Linked DNA regions of Saccharomyces cerevisiae S288C. The gene in region 1 interacts genetically with each later gene. Each region holds a gene or a part of one and is shown in the gene's direction. Other genes may lie near its edges.

Region 1 (2,781 bases):
GAACGTCAATAATTCTTGAACTTGGGATACTTGAAATATTAAATAACAAACATTCAAAAGAATTTCCACAGACTGAATGTTTAAGTTCCCCAAACCTATACTACCTGAGGCAGGGAAAGTCAAATGCAAATGCTCTTGTGATTTTGACGCATCATCGTCTAATAAAAGATCTAGATATGTTCGGATTTTCGTTAACGACGGCATTTGCGAGTTTGACGTACATTTTATGATCAATTTCCACACCTCTTTTGTATTCGGTATGTTATACAGTTGAGAAATGGAGGTTGTCGGATTGTCCGTATCATAATTTAGAGACTTTAAATTTACTATGCTTGTATTCTCTTCGAAACGGTGGGTCAGAGATATATTGTTTTTTTTAATTATTTGATAATTATGCCAATCAGTGGTGTTACCGCAAATCAACCCTGTTTCCTCCAATCGTGTAGCTGAAGTCAGCTTATTCAACTCTAACTTCTCGCACAAAACCATATTCTTATCAACGTTATTGAAACACACTATTTCACTAGGTGACGAACATAAATTCAAGGGAGTATTATTCTTGAAAAATTCGTTGTCTAATAAAGGTGTACCAATCAAAGTTTGAGGTATATCTGTATTGAAATTCTGATAAGTGCAAATAAAAAGATTCGTCTTGTAAAGCGATCCTCCACTCCCTACATAACCCTTTTGAACAAACATTAAACAGATCTGTAAAAGTAGTGCAAGGGTTGTACAATTGGGGCAATTTCCCTCGTGTGAGCACGCTGGCGCTGATTCTGTTTGCATATCAGTGCTGCCACCAGTCCGCGAACAATAAATTACTATATTATCAACCATTTCTATCATCTTGGCACATTGCAGGTCGAACCTTCGGAATAGACCTCTCCTTCCCCAGACGTCCTGCCCACTCCGTTTTAGCGTGGTATTAGACCCAACCTTGTTTCTAGAATACCTTTTAAGTTCTAATGATAGTCCACGAGGATCTACTTTCAGAAATGGTAAAATGCTATGATTGTGACAATAAGTAGCAGCGTTTTCCAAAGCAACATCATCCACTTGCAATTCCAATTGTCGTATCTGAAACTTTAGCAAGTTCAAAAGTTCCTTTGTGTTATTGGGATATTGAAAACCATTAGAATCATTTCCAGTTTCACAGGTATCGCCCTCTCTATGAAAGGAAGTGCGAACTTTCCAGGACTGGAAGATATCATTCACTTCGAGAGAATTACGCAAAAGCGCAGAATTGTTAGCATCTGATTGCGATTTGACTATTGCAAGAGAATGAGGAAAATCGGGTGGTTGACCAAAGGAAATATCATGAGCCCAGGGGAACATTTTTTTACATTCAGGCCATTCTGCATCCTGATGTAGTCGCATAAGATCATGCAGTTCACCAGGTGTGATTGAGGGCACTTCCAAAACCATGGTTGTTGCTCTAGTTTTCTATACCCGCCCCTTCTACCTCAATGACAATCTCTCTTTTATGGTTGGTGTTTCTTTTCACTTTTTTACTTCTTCTTGTACTTTTCTTTTTGAACCTTAAAAACTCTTGCAATTATGTTTCCATGATGCTTTTGAAGTAATAATTTATTTTTATTACGCGAAATTAATGGCCTTAACAACTGCCTGCCCCAACAGATAAAAACAAGCAAGGGTCAACCGTGTTGCAAAAAAAATGTCCAACTTAGTTAAAGAAAAAGCACCTGTCTTTCCTATATCTAAAGTAAAGAAGATTGCCAAATGCGACCCCGAATACGTAATTACATCTAATGTAGCTATATCAGCGACCGCATTCGCTGCTGAGTTATTTGTACAGAATCTCGTCGAAGAATCGCTGGTCTTAGCACAACTGAATTCGAAAGGAAAGACAAGCCTACGATTAAGCCTAAATTCTATAGAAGAATGTGTCGAAAAAAGAGATAATTTCAGGTTTCTAGAGGATGCCATTAAACAACTGAAGAAGAATAGCGCACTCGACAAGAAGAGAGAACTAAACATGCAACCGGGTCGGAGCGATCAAGAGGTTGTTATAGAAGAGCCTGAATTGCATGAGGATGATGGTGTAGAGGAAGAAGAAGAAGAAGACGAGGTATCCGAAGAAGAAGAGCCCGTACACAATGAAGAACTTCTTGATGATAGTAAAGATCAACAAAATGATAAATCCACGCGCAGTGTGGCAAGCTTGCTGTCGAGATTCCAGTATAAATCCGCACTAGACGTAGGAGAACACTCCGACTCTTCTGATATCGAAGTTGACCATACGAAAAGCACCGATCCTTAGTGTTGTTGCTATTATTGCTATGTAATTACTATTCGATGCAATATGTTATACATATACATACACGCAATGAGAACCCTAACCTTGAACTTACTATTTTAAAAGGACATCTCGAAAAAGCTTAGGGATAATTAATATTTTGTAGGTTAGAGCTGTTATGTAGGGAAGAAAAACAAGGGCTTTAAAATAATAATCACATTACACGAATAACTTAATTTGTCTTTCTGAAATGGAAAAAGAAAAAAATGACGACTGTAACATTGGATGAATTAATACTGTCATTATTGATACGTTGTTAATTATAGACAGAAATGTATTCAGTACAATAGAACAGTGCTCATAATAGTATAAAGGGTCACAATGTCCAAAAAACAGGAATATATTGCACCAATAAAATACCAAAACAGCTTGCCTGTGCCACAATTACCTCCTAAACTTCTGGTTTACCCCGAGTCTCCGGAGACGAATGCAGACTCCTCCCAACTAATCAATTCACTATACAT
Region 2 (3,971 bases), on another chromosome or scaffold:
AGCTATTCTAACAACAAAACCACGAATCACACCAAAAAGAAGTATGTAAAGGCATGGAAAAAGAAGTAAGCATTGGAATATATGAAATCCTGCTTGTTGATATTCCATTTCTGTGCGAAAAAAGAGCAATAAGCTGGCTTTTAATAATGGGTTGGAGCCATGGATAAGTACGGACATATAGCTCATCAAGAAGGCGATGTTTGTTATTATATTCCAAGGCTGTTCAAATACAACAGTTATTATAGTGGGACAGAGGACGTTCGAATATTTGTTGGAGATTTAAAGTACCGGATGAGAGTTTCTTTGCAAATTTGCGAAAAGTATTATGATAGGCGGTTGTCGATGTTGTTCTGGAAAAATCATCCTTTACAGCAAATACACCTTATTGGCTGCATCATTGGACTCCAGTTCAAATGGATTGGGAAACAAGAATACATTTTTTTTCAGTTGGACGATTGTACTTCAGACTCTTCATTGGTGGGTTATACTAGTGACATGAGATTCTTAACATGTAAAGTTAAGAAGGATAGCATCCTATCATGGGGGTTGAACATAACCGATTTGATAGGCTTAACTCTTCATGTCTACGGGCAAGCAAGTTTGAACTATCAAGAGCTTCAAGTTGAATATTTAAGATTATGCTACAGTTTAACGGAAGAAATAGATCATTGGAAAATCACAATGAACATGCGTGAGCAACTTGACACGCCTTGGTCCTTAAGCGATTTTGTAATTGGAGAATTGTTCACGCAAGAGCAAGAGTGGACACCTGAGACATCACAGATTGAGGTAGTAAACCCGGATTTTGTAGGTATAGGGTACAAAACCCCAGAAAGTAAAAGAAATGAAACTACTTTCATCGAGCAACTGCAAGAAGAACGCTTGAAGGATGAATTAGAAATTATTAGTCCATACAATAGCACAGATACTTCGAATAGTGTGCATTCCTTGTCATTTCGGTTTGTATCGTCGCTAAAGGATTTTCCTGAAACTCACTTTTTGAATTCAGGTGATCAAATTGACAACGGCAATGACGAACAGTTAAAAAAACTAGAATATCAAAGCGCTAATCTACCTGTGATGATTCCCAATAGGACATCAGCAAAGTCAAACTTGATGTTGATCCTATTAGGACTACAAATGAAAGAGATTTCTAATTCTGACCTTTACAAACTAAAGGAAGTACGCAGCGTAGTAACTAGCTTAGCATCGTTTTTGTTTCAACAACAAAATGTTGGCGTCATGAAATCTTTTGACTCTTTGGAAAAGGAAGCGTTTCGAGACCTGGTTAATCGTCTAGTCAGCCAGGGTTTGATCGGATTAAAAGATAAAACAAGTGAGACATTTGATTTGCTTCCTCTAAAAAATCTTTTTGAATATGCTGAAAAACGTATATCAGTTCTAATGAAGCTACAATGTTATACAGGCACTGTGCAATTAAGTCATGTTCAGGAAAAGCTACATTTGCCGTACATAACAACGAACGGCATCGTTGATGTTTTCAAAGAATGTCTTAAAAGGACAAAGAAACAGTATCCTGAGGTACTAAAAAATTGGTGGATTGATCTTGATCCGAAGAATGGTATGGAGGACCAAAACAGTGGAATATTATTACATTTGGAATACGCAGCAGCATATTCATAATTTGTTAGAAAACTCGCATCGTCAATAACGGCGCATCTCTCTAGGCCTGAAAAATTTTGCGATGAGCTCAAAATAAGATACTATAACTTTATGCATATATTGTATATATATTATATCAAACAAATAAGGACGTTAACGAAATTTTATATGGCCTTATTTAACGTAGAAGGTTGGTCTATTAAGACAAAAACCGTCGCTTTTGATAACAAGACTAATAAGTCTTCAAAAGATAAAAAAAAAAATAATAGAAAAAATGGCAAACTTACAAGAGAACAGAAGTTGAAAGAAGAGACAGAGGCTGAGTTGAAGGAACAAGTGGAAGACATTCCTTCCGAAGGATCAGTAGCCAAAGACATCCCAAAAAAAAACCAAGAGAAAAGTGATCAAAATGAAACGAGCAAGAAACGCAAGCACGATGAAGAAGCCCCTCTGATGCAAGTAAAAGAAAATATTGAAAAACCTACAAAGAAGCAACTAACCCCTTTACAACAAAAGATGATGGCTAAACTGACTGGTTCTAGATTTAGATGGATCAATGAACAACTGTATACAATTAGCTCTGATGAAGCTTTGAAATTAATAAAAGAACAACCACAATTATTTGACGAATATCATGATGGTTTTAGATCACAAGTGCAAGCATGGCCGGAAAATCCAGTTGATGTTTTTGTTGACCAAATTCGTTATAGATGCATGAAACCTGTGAATGCTCCAGGTGGGTTACCAGGTCTTAAGGATAGTAAAGAAATAGTTATTGCTGATATGGGGTGTGGTGAAGCTCAATTAGCATTAGAAATCAACAATTTTTTCAAAAATTACAATAAGAAAGCGAAGAAATATTTGAAAAGACGCCATAAAGTCCACAGTTTTGATTTGAAGAAAGCTAACGAAAGAATAACTGTGGCAGATATTAGAAATGTGCCGCTACCAGATGAGTCCTGTACTATAGTGGTCTTCTGCCTGGCTCTAATGGGTACAAATTTCCTCGATTTCATAAAAGAAGCTTATAGGATTTTAGCGCCAAGGGGTGAATTATGGATCGCAGAAATTAAATCAAGGTTTAGTGACGGCAAAGGTAATGAATTTGTAGACGCTTTGAAGCTGATGGGATTTTTTCACAAAAAGACCTTCGACGAGAATAAGATGTTTACAAGATTCGAATTTTTCAAGCCACCTGCGGAGATTATTGAAGAGAGAAGGCAGAAATTGGAAAGAAGACAAAAGTTTATTGAAGTTGAAACTGAGAAGGAAGAATTAGAAAAGAAAAGACGGAAAATTGCCGAAGGAAAATGGCTCTTGAAGCCCTGTATTTATAAAAGAAGATAACGACTTCATCCGTCATTTTCATATTTTAATATTGTTTTTTCTTTTGTATACTATATTTATACATATAATTGTATTCTTTTCCTGTAGTACATTGCGTAAAGTAAAAATCATCTAGAAGAAGTACTCCACAATGTTCACATGAGGGACAAGGTTTTATTGTCTCTGGAAAAACGATTGGATATTAGCCAGCCTTGAAAGATTTTCAAAGCCCGGAACAGAAGGAAGAGCGAACCAATTATTAGTATCTTGACCGTCAGATTGTCCACTATTGGGCTCCCATCTATCGCAACAACGAAATCCATACGTGTTCCAGGCGGTCAGACACATTGCAACAATGACCAAAATCAGGTAGAATATTTTCAGTCTTAAAAGACACAACACAGCGAAGACACCCCAGATTACGGGTGTCACATACATCGACCACCAGAATAACTTAGAATCGATGGCATTTATTGGTGGGCCCGGCGCATATTGCTTATATGATTCGAAAGTAAAATTAGAATCTTTGTTCACATCTGTAGAATCATACCACCAGCGTAATTGGACCAGTTTCCGACCTGTAATGTTTTTTGTTAAGTAAAAGTCAAAAGAAAGTAAAAGAACGACAGTGATGAATTGAGGTGTGAAATTCAAAAACATTGATCCTATGATATAAAATACAATGGGAACTGCCTTACCTGCCAGATGAAATGATAGTAGCAACGGGTGCGACGATTTTAAAATTGTGTTGTAGAAATTTCTTGCCTGGTCCATGTTTCATTCGTAATTAGAGCACCAGCAGGTTTATAAAAGCGTATTGAACCGTAAATCCTTTAAGAACCACGCTTTTCTACATTTACATTATGTACAGTTAAAATGGAAACGAAATCCCTTTTCACCCAAAGGCGCATTGCGGACAAATAATAGGTTCGAGGTCAAGGTAAACAGGAAGCAAGATGCAAAAGAAGTAACTGGAATGGAATGTATACATTGATATATAAATATGTATGACGCCTTCTATT
Region 3 (4,771 bases), on another chromosome or scaffold:
GTTGAATAAGTAATTCTCGCAAATAATCTTAAACCAAGGCGTAAACTTGTAACTTGGGTCAGCAAACATAGTTTTCAAATCATTTGGTGAAACCCATTTGAAGTCTCTAACTTCATTGACGTTTGGGTTGACAGTCAAGTTTTCTTTAGCGTTGATCTTATAAAATAGGATGTAATCAATTTCATGTTCACCCCATGGTTCATTGCTTGGTGCCATGTAATGGATTCTGTTTAAAAAGTGAAACTTACCCCTTGTCTTAGTTTCATCTTCTGGAATACCTAATTCATGATCTAGTTTTCTCACCGCCGCAGTAATAGCGCCCTTAATCTTATCGTCTAGCTTACCCTTCAAACCTAATTCGTCATCAATACATAGTGGATGAGAGCAGCATGTGTTAGTCCAAAGATCAGGGAAAGTTATTTTTTCAGTGGCTCTTTGTTGTAAAAGTAATTCACCTTGTTCATTGAAAATAAAGACGGAGAATGCACGATGTAGTAAACCCTTTTCAATATTTTCCATTAAATGACAAACTTTCTTGGTACCGGCACCAATAGCATTATCGTCCCAATCCAAAACAATACAATTTTCATTCATTAACTTAATTTGCTCCTCATCATGACCAGAAAAACATGTTTCTCCGCTTTCGTCATTTGACGTCTCACTAGATCGGGTATTAGGTCTTTGTTGTAATGGAATAATTTCAGGAAACTCTTCCAAAATGTCTTCAGGTGTTTGGTTTTGCACTAATTTGGCGTAACTAGATACTGCACCATGGGGCATACTATTGTTGTCGGCAGTCATTGAGGTGTAATGAATTTTTGGCTTATTTTTACTCTTCCTGTATTCCAAATACGAATACTCTAATATTGAATTAAGTGGGATATACGCCTTCTTGTCACTAGAAAACTGTTTCCTGTTAAATAGATAAAAATGAATAAATAAATATAAATGGAGTTAAGACCGAAAAAGAAAGGCAACCCCCATCGACAAGAAAAGAGTTATGAATAATCATGTTTCTTAATAACAATTAAAGGGAAAAGAATCGGCTGGGCATCGTCATTGCGAAACTGTTGACTGGAAAAATTTCAATCACAATTAAGTTTTGTCCATTTCGTTCCAGCAAGAACGGAAACTTTTACCGATAGCAGCGGAAAAAAAGAAAAAAGAAAAAAAAAAGAAATTAATATAGGCAAAATAGCCGCATGAAGCCCTTAATAACCTATACTATTCTGTGACTGTTATTTATTTACCCTCGTAATATTAAAAATGTCCTATACAATTTCTGTAATAAAACCTAATTTTTTTAGGACCCTTGAGTGTTACCCTGCTCATGTTTTTATTTTTGTTTTAGAGAAATGTAAACAACAGTTTGGGAAAGTTTCAAGAATTGTAAACAACTAATCAAGGGATAATACTATTTTACTCTTTCCTTTAAACATGAAGAACTATTTTTTGTTTACGTTTTTTTCTGAATTGAACAATAAGATCTTGTTAATTTTTTTATCGCTTGATCTATTATCAGATCTTCTCTTTTGAAAAACTAGTCCTTTTCCAAATTACAAACTTTCTTTTCGTGTGGAGTTGATCAGTTCAGTTTCTCCAATACTTCTTAAGTCACTGAAAATATAACGAAAAAAAGGGCTCTGGAAGTAAACAGAGAAATTCGACGATATAATATGTCTTCCAAGCATTCAGATCCATTGGAGAGATTTTATAAGCAATTTCAAGCATTTGTTCAAAATAACCCTAATGTCATATCGGCAGCTCGAGCTGCCGCACAAATACCGGAATCTGCAAAAGCTGTTGTAGTACTATCCCCATATTCTTTACAGCATGTGTTCCCGAGAGAATGGGTAACAAAATCGTATAGGAAAACTATAGTCGAACGACCAGAAAGATTATTAGCAAGCTCGATGGGTATATCAGCTGCGATTACAATGTATCCATCCCTTTTCACCTTGAAATCCTCGCATCAAAGGAAAGGTTCATTGATGGCACCTCATGTGCTTAAAGTTCATGGCAGTAGCTGGCCGGCTGAGTTAATTGAACTTTGCCAAATGGCAGATGCTAAATTGCTAAAAGGCGAAATCGAAGTCCCAGATACTTGGAACTCAGGTGATATATACTTGAGCTCAAAGACAATTAAAGCTCTACAGGGAACAATTGGGGCCATTGAAACTGGTGTTGACTCAATTTTCAAAGGACCATCTGCAGAACATATTAGTAACAGAGCTTTTGTTGCTATACGGCCTCCTGGTCATCATTGCCACTATGGTACACCATCCGGCTTTTGTCTGTTAAACAATGCACATGTAGCCATAGAATATGCGTATGATACTTACAACGTCACGCATGTTGTCGTGCTTGATTTCGATCTACACCACGGTGATGGGACCCAAGACATTTGCTGGAAACGTGCGGGTTTCAAACCTGAGGAGGAACCTGAAGATTCATCTTATGATGATTTTGGTAAGAAATTTGCCGAATTTCCCAAAGTCGGTTATTTTTCTATGCATGATATAAATTCATTTCCAACAGAGTCGGGATTTGCCACAAAGGAGAACATTAAAAATGCATCTACCTGTATCATGAACTCTCATGACCTAAACATCTGGAATATTCACTTATCCAAATGGACAACCGAAGAAGAATTCAATGTATTATACAGGACAAAATATAGAACTTTATTTGCTAAAGCAGATGAATTTTTCAGGAGCGCAAAACTAGAAATGAATCAACAAGGGAGACCATTCAAAGGTTTGGTTGTCATAAGCGCAGGTTTCGATGCATCAGAATTTGAGCAAACTTCAATGCAAAGGCATAGTGTCAACGTTCCTACAAGTTTTTATACAACGTTCACCAAAGATGCATTGAAATTAGCACAAATGCACTGTCATGGCAAAGTTTTGTCTCTAATGGAGGGTGGATATTCTGATAAAGCTATATGTTCTGGTGTTTTCGCACATTTGATCGGTTTACAAAACCAAGATTGGGTTAAAGAATGGGGGTCTGAACAAGTCGTTAAAGAGATTGTTCGTGGTTGCAAACCGGCTTGGAAACCCTATAAGACAAAAAGAGCAAAAGATGTCATAAGAATATGGGCAGAAGAAGTTATCAGGCTGGGACGAGCAATGATACCGGAATTCGATGATATCATTTTTAAAGACGCAGTTAACAGCGCACCTTCTAATTCTCTACTAAAGGCTACTGTCGAACCAGCATCCACGTCGACAATTGCTCAAAGAATAATCAGATCTCATAGAAGCAACGCTTCCCCAGAAAAAGAACTTCATGAAAACAAGCCGAGAAGCACGGAAAAACAGGAACAAAGGGAAATTAGAAGCGATACCAAGGTCAAGCAGCTCTCGTCAAATAATAGAGCAGCTGAAACCCAAATTCCGTTTTTGCAACAAGAATTTTCCAGTGAGGATGAAGATGAAGAATACGTTTACGATGAAGAATTGAACAAAACTTTCAATCGCACGGTGGAGGATATTACCATTGATGATATTTCTAGACATTTGGAGACCTTAGAAATTGAAAAAAAAGGTGATGAAGATTCAGACCATGAGCTAAAAGAAAAAAATTGGAAAAACTCGCACCAACGCCGTCTACAAGGTAATGGAATGTATAAAATTCCCTCCAATACGAAACCGCATCGCATAAGACAGCCTCAAAACGCAAATACACCAACTTATGACGATAGTGATATATCAATGATTTCTCATGTTTCAAGAAAACATACAACAAGAAGTGGTGGAAGATGGTGATACCAATGCATATATAATGTTGTCTTGAACCCACTAAAGAAGTGACGCATATATTACTTTTTTGTATTTAGTAACACAATTTTTCTATTTTTATATTTCCTTGTATAGTTAGTAATTTTAATTTTTTTCCTTCTTTATCTCAGCTCTTCGACCATTTGGTCAAGAAGTTAGTTTTTTTCTCTTATTTTATTTGACAATATACTAATTTTATTATATGGTATTGTAAATAACATTTGAGGAATAAAAAGACAGTCACTCTATAAGCTTTATCAGCCTGACATTTTTTTATTATTACAAATATATCGTTGAAAGAAAGAAGCCTCTATACATCTCGCCCTCTTTCTATCATTAAATCAATGGAGGTTTACTGGCAACGTTATATTTCTACAATTTTAGACCATCAAACCTGAGGAATATGTATATCTACTTTCTCCCTTTCCTCTTCTTTAACTGGTTCACCACCCTGAAATATACACGCAAAGTCAGTGATGAATGGTTGAAGCATACTAATTGGAATATTTAGAGTTGGGGAAAACACGATGCATAAATTTCTTAGATTCATCTTATTAAACTTACTATTCTCATTGATCCTTACCAGCAGTTCAAAAAGAGCATACATCAACGATAGGTTAGCGTGAGGAACTAGGCCAGATTCAATAAGTTCCTTAAACCCCAATGATATTTGAACAGGATTATTATGATTTTCATCAACTACTCTTTTAAACGACAAAAATTGTTCGTCACCAAATAATAAATGGGGCAACTTTCTCAAGTACAACTTTAGTAACCCACTTACAGTATTCACACCAATGTAAAGACTTGGAGATGCCTCATCATCTTTAGCTTCAATACTTTCATTGTACCGACATAAATCTACATCGTACTCTTTATCAAACCTTTCTTGTAAAGTTTTGATAACTGTACTGGACCCGCTTAGTCTAAATATGCCTTCTTCCTGGATACCACGGTTTTTGTAAAGATACTCTAAGCAACGATAAACT

What was found. A genetic interaction does not mean that the proteins touch.
Region 2: mutations in DPB3 (region 1) and RRP8 together harm fitness more than expected from each alone (negative genetic interaction), as found in Saccharomyces cerevisiae (2 studies listed by BioGRID).
Region 3: mutations in DPB3 (region 1) and HOS3 together harm fitness more than expected from each alone (negative genetic interaction), as found in Saccharomyces cerevisiae (2 studies listed by BioGRID).

The regions. Positions count from the first base shown.
Region 1 is NC_001134.8:758,619-761,399, forward strand, and holds DPB3 (DNA polymerase epsilon noncatalytic subunit), read left to right. Parts: upstream 1-1,675; coding exon 1,676-2,281; downstream 2,282-2,781. Other genes in the region: tyrosine/serine/threonine protein phosphatase PPS1, read right to left, coding at 1-1,425; PAF1 (Paf1p), read left to right, coding at 2,639-2,781. UniProt on the Saccharomyces cerevisiae protein: As accessory component of the DNA polymerase epsilon (DNA polymerase II) participates in chromosomal DNA replication.
Region 2 is NC_001136.10:610,282-614,252, forward strand, and holds RRP8 (25S rRNA (adenine645-N1)-methyltransferase), read left to right. Parts: upstream 1-1,791; coding exon 1,792-2,970; downstream 2,971-3,971. Other genes in the region: STN1 (Stn1p), read left to right, coding at 160-1,644; TVP23 (Tvp23p), read right to left, coding at 3,124-3,723. UniProt on the Saccharomyces cerevisiae protein: S-adenosyl-L-methionine-dependent methyltransferase that specifically methylates the N(1) position of adenine 645 in 25S rRNA. Required both for ribosomal 40S and 60S subunits biogenesis. Required for efficient pre-rRNA cleavage at site A2.
Region 3 is NC_001148.4:327,930-332,700, forward strand, and holds HOS3 (histone deacetylase), read left to right. Parts: upstream 1-1,676; coding exon 1,677-3,770; downstream 3,771-4,771. Other genes in the region: isopentenyl-diphosphate delta-isomerase IDI1, read right to left, coding at 1-801; GTPase-activating protein BEM3, read right to left, coding at 4,171-4,771. UniProt on the Saccharomyces cerevisiae protein: Responsible for the deacetylation of lysine residues on the N-terminal part of the core histones (H2A, H2B, H3 and H4).